Linked DNA regions of Xenopus tropicalis. The protein of the gene in region 1 purifies or fractionates together with the protein of each later gene. This does not show direct contact. Links are inferred from orthologs where the notes say so. Each region holds a gene or a part of one and is shown in the gene's direction. Other genes may lie near its edges.

Region 1 (4,313 bases):
GGAACTACATGTCCCAGAGTCCATCACTTCACTCTGGAATGAGGCGAGGGAGGAGTTGCAGGACACTGCAATGGGCAATGCCTAGAGGTGGCCATATATACGGGCCGATTCTAGCTGCCGATATGGGTCCCTTAGACCGATTCAGCAGCTAATCAGCCCGTGTATGGGCACTACCGACGGGTCTGCCTGACTGATATCTGGCCTGAAATTCTAAGATTAGCAGACAATGGAAAGGAATAACGACTCTGCTGACTTTGTGAAAATCTGTTTTGTTTTTTTACCTGTTTATTAGAATATAAAAACCAAGAAAAGATTTCAGCGGCCAAACGCAAGGTGGAAACTGGAGGTTCCGAGAGGCCCTAGGGCCAAACGATTGAATTAACCCGATATTGGGCACCTTAGATGGGAATATCAGGAGAAGAGCCACTTGTTTGGGGAGGTGTATGGCCACCCTTTAGGTATATCTGTTTAAAAACAAACAAACATATATTCCTATGTTTATGTACCTTGTTCCATGTGTAAAGAATGGGGACATATTTCCCCTTTAATGGCTTTAAGGATTGGAAGGAATGTTTATATGAATAGAAACAATTCCCACCAGGTAACTTACTGCCAGTTAGTCCAGCAAAACACCATCAGTTCCCCACAATAAACTGAACCATTAACCCCCTGTGTGCCAGCTTCTCTCCCAGTGCCAGGCCTGCCCAATGTGTGATATTATGGCACTTTGTGGGTCAATGTTACCTCAGCTCTGGGCAGGTAGGGGAAATTACCCACAATGCATTGCCTTACAGACAGGGCAGATAATGAGCGATCACTGCCATGTGAGGGGCAATAGATTGAGAGCTTGTAGCCCAGGAACTGCAGGGGGAGGGGCTAACATGTAGTACAGTTGGGGCACATGTATTACTCCTTATGGGTGAAGCTACTAGTGGGTGCATGGCTACAGGCCCAGGGGCCATATCACATTACAATGGCCAAACTTCATTTATTGTATGTGGCTGGGCGCCATATTCCATCTGTTGTGAGTAAATTGCCCTGTCACGCCGCTCAGCGAGTTGACTGACAGTCGGCCAACCTCAGAATTTGTTTCTCTTTTGTGCGGCTTCTTCCTGGTGACACGCCCCCTTTTCCGTTTTTTGACCAATCCCAGTCGGCCAGACGCGCAGTTGCTAGGAGTTAGTAGGACAGACGCGGTAGGCTCCTTCATTGCAGTGCGCCTTCATCTTTACGGACCAATCAGAAGCGGCGGCCGGGTAGGACGCTAGAGGCGTGGCCTATATCCCATCATTCCTTGCTCATCACCCGTCAGTTCTGGGCCCCGCTGATTGGTTGCAGTATTAAGACGCAAGCGCAGACGGCGGACAGTGATGCTGCACTTTACCCTCCTGTGTGTGTAAGCCCCGCCCAGCCGCCGGCGCTCCTCCTCCTTTCCCTCGGTCAGTCACACAGTGAAAGCGAGAGAACGGACAGCGGGGCAGCGAGCGGAGCAGCGAGAGGGAACAGCGGGACTCACAGGCGGGACGGGACCGAAACACCTGATAAGCGGCAGGAACCGAGCGCTCAGTTTCTCCTTACCGGCAGCGGAGCGGCACAGGCCGGACACCGAGCATGGCTTCCGGATCCGAGTGAGTTACCGGGGAGCGGGCTGAGGGGGGTCTGTGGGTGCCGGTGGGACGCCGCCGCCGGGAGCTCCGCCCATTGGCTGGCACAGCGGGACCCGGGGTGTGCGGCCTACTGCGGCCTCCTCATCCTGCTGTGTCATGCACCCCTCACAGCGGCACCTACCGGCAGGACTACAACTCCCAGCATTCCCTGCCAACAGCCGGCCCCAGTGTTATCTGCTGGGAATGGTACCCTGCCTGCCGGGACTGACCTACAGGAAACCTGCCGGGAGAGCCTTGTCTTTTCCAGTGGGTCACCTCTGGCTGCCTTGGGGGATGCTGGGAGTTGTAGTCCAACATCAGGATTAGGGTGCCCTGCCTCTAATATCATCATGTCTGGGGCCCTAGCTGCCCTGGGGGATGCTGGGAATTGTAGGCCACTAGCAGCATGGGTTTATACTGTATGACATTAGTGGGGTACAGGGAGTCTGCAGTAGTACCAGGCCTTGTACAGTGGCTGATCTCCAGCTGCTGTGGGGGATGCTGGGAATTGTAGTCCAACATCAGGATTAGGGTGCCCTGCCTCTAATATCATCATGTCTGGGGCCCTAGCTGCCTTGGGGGATGCTGGGAGTTGTAGTCCAACATCTGGATTAGGATCCCCTGCCTCTAATATCATGTCTGGGGCCCTAGCTGCCTTGGGGGATGCTGGGAATTGTAGTCCAACATCAGGATTAGGGTGCCCTGCCTCTAATATCATCATGACTGGGGCCCTAGCTGCCTTGGGGGATGCTGGGAGTTGTAGTCCAACATCAGGATTAGGGTGCCCTGCCTCTAATATCATGCTTGGGGCCCTAGCCGCCTTGGGGGATGCTGGGAGTTGTAGTCCAACATCAGGATTAGGGTGCCCTGCCTCTAATATCATGCTTGGGGCCCTAGCCGCCTTGGGGGATGCTGGGAGTTGTAGTCCAACATCAGGATTAGGGTGCCCTGCCTCTAATATCATGCTTGGGGCCCTAGCCGCCTTGGGGGATGCTGGGAATTGTAGTCCAACATCAGGATTAGGGTGCCCTGCCTCTAATATCATGTCTGGGGCCCTAGCTGCCTTGGGGGATGCTGGGAATTGTAGTCCAACATCAGGATTAGGGTGCCCTGCCTCTAATATCATCATGACTGGGGCCCTAGCTGCCTTGGGGGATGCTGGGAGTTGTAGTCCAACATCAGGATTAGGGTGCCCTGCCTCTAATATCATGCTTGGGGCCCTAGCCGCCTTGGGGGATGCTGGGAGTTGTAGTCCAACATCAGGATTAGGGTGCCCTGCCTCTAATATCATGCTTGGGGCCCTAGCTGCCTTGGGGGATGCTGGGAGTTGTAGTCCAACATCAGGATTAGGGTGCCCTGCCTCTAATATCATGTCTGGGGGCACTAGCCGCCTTGGGGGATGCTGGGAGTTGTAGGCCACTAGCAGCATGGGTTTATACTGTATGACATTAGTGGGGTACAGGGAGCCTGTAGTAGTACCAGGCCTTGTACAGTGGCTGATCTCCAGCTGCTGTGGGGGATGCTGGGAGTTGTAGTCCAGTCACCGTATCTAGTTGAACGCTGGTTGCTATAGAGAACCTGACATTGGCAACACAGGGTACCCTTTGGGTATAATAGGAGCCATAGCTGGGCATGAGGGTGGGTATCCATGGAAACCTGCCAGAAATGAGGCAACTTGCCGGGAACTCTTATTGGCCCTTTGTCTGCATCCCAATCTGAGCTATGGCTGATGTACCCTATCAAATATGTATAACCCTGCCCATTTGGGCCGCTGGCACACTGCCTGGGTGTGAGTATGTGCCTGTGGCCCAGTGCCAAGGTGCCAGTGGAACTGCTTTATGATGCTGGCACCGGTGCCCACAGCTGCTGGCACTCACAGCATAGAGAGGGGCCGTGCCACCTCATCCTAATCACTGGCCAGTTAGTGGGGTTTGGGCAGGACCTACCCCTGCCATTACAATGGTACGTTCCAGAACAGGCAGTGCAGAGAGATACACCAGGGTTATACCAACTGCAGCTGGGGGGGTTATATCTGTGTGCCCATGCCTATTGGCTGACCCTCGGGCCCCCATGTGCTCTGGGCCTGCTCCCTGCTGGGTCCCTGCGCTTTGCCCAATGAATGGTTCTCCCCTGTCAGCACAAATGCCCCTGCCCCCAGAGGGAACGGCCATGCTAAGCTTTCCTGCCCCTCGTGAGAGAAGCCCCCCCCCCGCACTACAGTCTGACCTTCTGGATCCCCAGCGCCCACCTACCTACCTGCCCCTGGGCTCTTGGGGTGCTCTCCTCCCCTTCTGCTCCACATTTATATAAATCTCTATACATTTGCCCAAACCTGCCCAATATTATATGGAGTAGCCCCCCCATCCCCCCTCCTTGTCCCAACTCTCTTTATAACCGGTGCCAAGCGATACCCTTAGCAACCTGGGTGTTATTATCCCCCCCCCTGAGGTGAGAAGTGGAACTGCAGGAGACTGGAGGAGCCCCACACACACTTGGCTGATAGTGATACCCCATTGGGAGATGCTGATGTATCCAGGATCCCGTACCCTGTGGGTAAATGGCATCTGTGCCCGCTAATTGGCAGGAAATAGGGCTGTACTTCTGGTTCTGACTCTTCAAACAATGTAGCCCTTCCCCAGTTCTGCAGCTGGATTCTGCTACATAGTT
Region 2 (3,516 bases), on another chromosome or scaffold:
AGAACTGGACTGACTACTTCCTTCTTATTCACTTGCATTGCAGTAAGTGGAGTAAGTCCTTAGTGGTCTCAGACATTGTGTACAAGGTGCAAGAACTTTTCAGCTTGGGAGAGACAGCCAATATGTTATCAGAGTGATCCCAATTACAGATATAGAAAGCTTAGTAAGCAGCTGTTTGCCAAAATGATTAAGAATGAATCAGGACCTTGGCTAGTGTGCCTACTATTGTGCTTCTATGGTCGGTCATGAATTTCTGTGCTTTCAAAAATTTCCCCTTCCATGTACTTTGGGGCACCATTGTAGCTGGCCGCTTTTTTTTTTTTTTTTTTATTAAATGCATTGTTCCATTTTGGAAAGTTTGTGGATACCCAGCAATATGTCACATCTGGCTTCAGTTCTAACACAGGGCATCTATGCAGACAAGGCACATTCATGGTGGAGACTTCTACAGCTTACTCAGTCTGTTACTTTTTTCTATTAGTTGCACTACTATTTCCAAGGACAACAGTAAGGCACTGCAAAAAAAATCATGGTAGATACCCAGCCACAACCCAGAAAGCCCAGGCAACAAAAGTAAAGTGATGGCTAGGTGAAGTCTAAGCAATGCAAATACACCTTAAGGAATGCAGAAATCGCCCCCAATTGCAATCTTAACCCATCTTCAAAATCAGGTCATAGAGTAGGCCACACTGGACTAGAAAAGGAGATCTTTGTATAACTTACCATTAAATCTCTTTCTCTCTAAGCTCCTGGTTAAGCTCCTCCCTCCAGGGTGCAGGACACTCAAGAAACAAAAACTCCTCCTCCATTCCCTATATACCTCTTGCTTAACCTCTTCTGTTACATCCTTGGGGGACACAGGAACTAGGCATGCACTGAATCCACTTTTTCGGATTCGGCTGAATCCCCAAATCCTTTGTAAAGGATTTGGCCGAATACCGAACTGAATCCTATTTAGCATATTCTTATTAGGTTTTGGAAGGGTTAAATGATAAATGTAGAGGGTTAAATTTAAAAAAAAAATTCAACTTCCATGTTTTATGTGACAAAAAGTCACATGATTTTTTGGATTCGGTTCGGCCAGGAGCGTGGATTCGGCCGAATCCCGAATTCAGGAATCTCTGAAACCTACCAAAGCAGTCCCTCAGGAACCAGGGAGGGAAACAAACCGGTACCACAGTAGTCAGTCACAACTACAGCCTGAAGAACCTTCCTACTAAAACTGGCTTTGGAGGAGGAAAAAACATCAAAACAATAGAATTTTCTAAACGTATGAATAGAGGACTATGTGGCTGTTCTGCACAGCAGCTCTGCAGAAGCATTGTTTCTCCACGCCCAAGAGGCGCTTAGGGTCTTGGTCGAGTGAGCTTTGATCTACTCCTGTGGGAAGCCACATATGCTTGATGGATAGTCTTTGTAATTCACTGAGACATTGTAGTCTTAGTAGCAGCTGTCCCTCTCCTTGGACCCACAGGGATCACAAATGCCTTAATGAGTAAGTTCTTAGTATTTTAAGTCTCTGACTATAATTGGCTGAACCACTTTAGGTAGAAATGATGGAGCTTTTTTCTGTACCACTTTGTCCCTGTGAAATACCCATCAGGGGCAACTGACAGAAAGCTCAGTTTAGAAACCCTTTTTGCAGACACTACAGCCAACAGAAAGACAACCTTCCGTGTCAATAATTCCAAATTGACCAAAGCCATTGTTTCAAATGGCTGTTCCTGCAAGGCTCTAAGTACCGAATTCAGGTTCTCTAGTTCCCTAATCAGAAATTCCGGCACTGACCATCAGTCTGAGGACTTTAATGCAAAATCTGACTAAAGGTGGCCATACACGCACCGATATTATCGTACGAAACCTCGTTTCGTATGATAATCGGTGCGTGTATGGTATGTCGGCGAGTCGACCGATATCGCAGGAAGCTGCTGATATCGGACGACTCGCCGATCGGACCAGTTTGAAAATTTTGATCGGGCGCCATAGAAGGCGCCTGACCAAAATTCTCCCTTCAGAGCTGAATCGGCAGAAGGAGGTAGAAATCCTATTGTTTCTACCTCCTTACCTGCCGATTCAGCCCTGAATGGTGTGTGGCGGATCTTACGATGTTTCGTGCGACCGATGGTCGTACGAAACATCGTCAGATCGCCACGTGTATGGCCACCTTTAAGGTGCTTGTTTCTGAAGATAAGATACCATGTCCCACCCATGCTTGCCTGTCCTCTGGAAGTGTCATTGGTTTTTTTGTGTTGAACACCAATCCGAGAAACTTGCATGACCTGGCTGGGAAGAAGCGAAGACTTCCATCTGTTGATCTGCCACCCAAAATTGTGTAGGGTCTCTATACAGACCATGGTCCTAACCTCCTGCTCAAGGACACTGAAAAACTGAGTAGGAGGCATTAACAAGGGATATATATGGAAGGGGAGGAGGAGTTTTTAGTTTTTTGTCTGTGTCCTGCCTCTGGTGGGAGCGTAACCAGTTGTCCCTGTGTCCCCCATATGAGAAAATATATTTTGGTCTGGTCCATGTAGCCAAGAAAGTATGACTTGTACAGGCATTTCCCATTCAGCCTAAACTGGGGACAAGAAGGAGCCAACCCATATATTAGAAGAGTTGAGAGCTTTTGTCCTGCGTTTAGGGGTTTAGTCTTTTGCACTGACAGTTCAGTTCAAGGTAAGTCCAAGAACCCCTTTGTTCTGTTAAAGGTATTATGGCAATACATTTTTGTATCCCAGATTTAAGATTCAAACAAATACCATCTGTTATGTAAGCAGTGTATAGTAGTAATGAATACTGTACCTGTGGCTTATTTGCAGGTGATTGAAAACCTGGATTCTCTGCGAGAACTCGACAGTCTTTTTCTTGGTAAAAATAAAATCACTAAACTCCAGAATTTGGAAACTCTGACAAACCTTACTGTTCTGAGTGTGCAGGTAAGCCATTTCCACAATCTGCAGGCTTCAGTGTGGGCTTAGTTATGTGAACTGACAGTTAATGCTTTTTTCATCACTGCTTTTTTTTTTTTTTTTACCATGCATTTTTCTTGTTTTTTTTGTCTGCTGGGGTCAGTGACCCCCAATTGAAAGTAGAAAAGAAGAAGGCGGTGTAACCTCTATTTCAGCTCAATAGCTGCTTTCCCGGACTAGTATCAGTAGAACATGGGTTACACTGTACCCTCTTACCCAGAATGGGCCTTCGCTAAGTGGAAGAGGAAGGTGAGGGTGTTGTGCAACTACACCTCTCTTGCTGCTATGCAGAAAAATTAAACCAGAGGGCGCCAGAGGTTCTTGCAAATAACAAAGTAATAAGTATTTATTGAACATCCACAGGGTTTACTCACAATACAGCTTCAGAGGGCAGTGGTACAGGCAACACATACCGAGTGTATATTCAGACTAACACTCCCCTGCGGGCAGACTGGCAGGAATCTCCCTTCACCTCTGCGACACACCCCGTAGTGGATCCCTCAGGGAATTCTCTATCCTGATTCCCTATTCACTTGGATCCCTACAC

What was found. Proteins that work in one complex are often made in the same cells at the same time.
Region 2: the proteins of vcp (region 1) and ppp1r7 purify together in Homo sapiens (affinity purification with mass spectrometry; 3 studies listed by BioGRID and IntAct, with this or other methods). This does not show direct contact. The link is inferred for Xenopus tropicalis from reciprocal best matches to the Homo sapiens genes VCP and PPP1R7.

Annotation. Positions count from the first base shown.
Region 1 is NC_030677.2:212,825,769-212,830,081, reverse strand, and holds the start of vcp (transitional endoplasmic reticulum ATPase), read left to right. Parts: upstream 1-1,498; 5' UTR 1,499-1,611; coding exon 1,612-1,628; intron 1,629-4,313. UniProt on the Homo sapiens protein: Necessary for the fragmentation of Golgi stacks during mitosis and for their reassembly after mitosis. Involved in the formation of the transitional endoplasmic reticulum (tER).
Region 2 is NC_030681.2:125,946,460-125,949,975, reverse strand, and holds part of ppp1r7 (protein phosphatase 1 regulatory subunit 7), read left to right. Parts: intron 1-2,819; coding exon 2,820-2,936; intron 2,937-3,516. UniProt on the Homo sapiens protein: Regulatory subunit of protein phosphatase 1.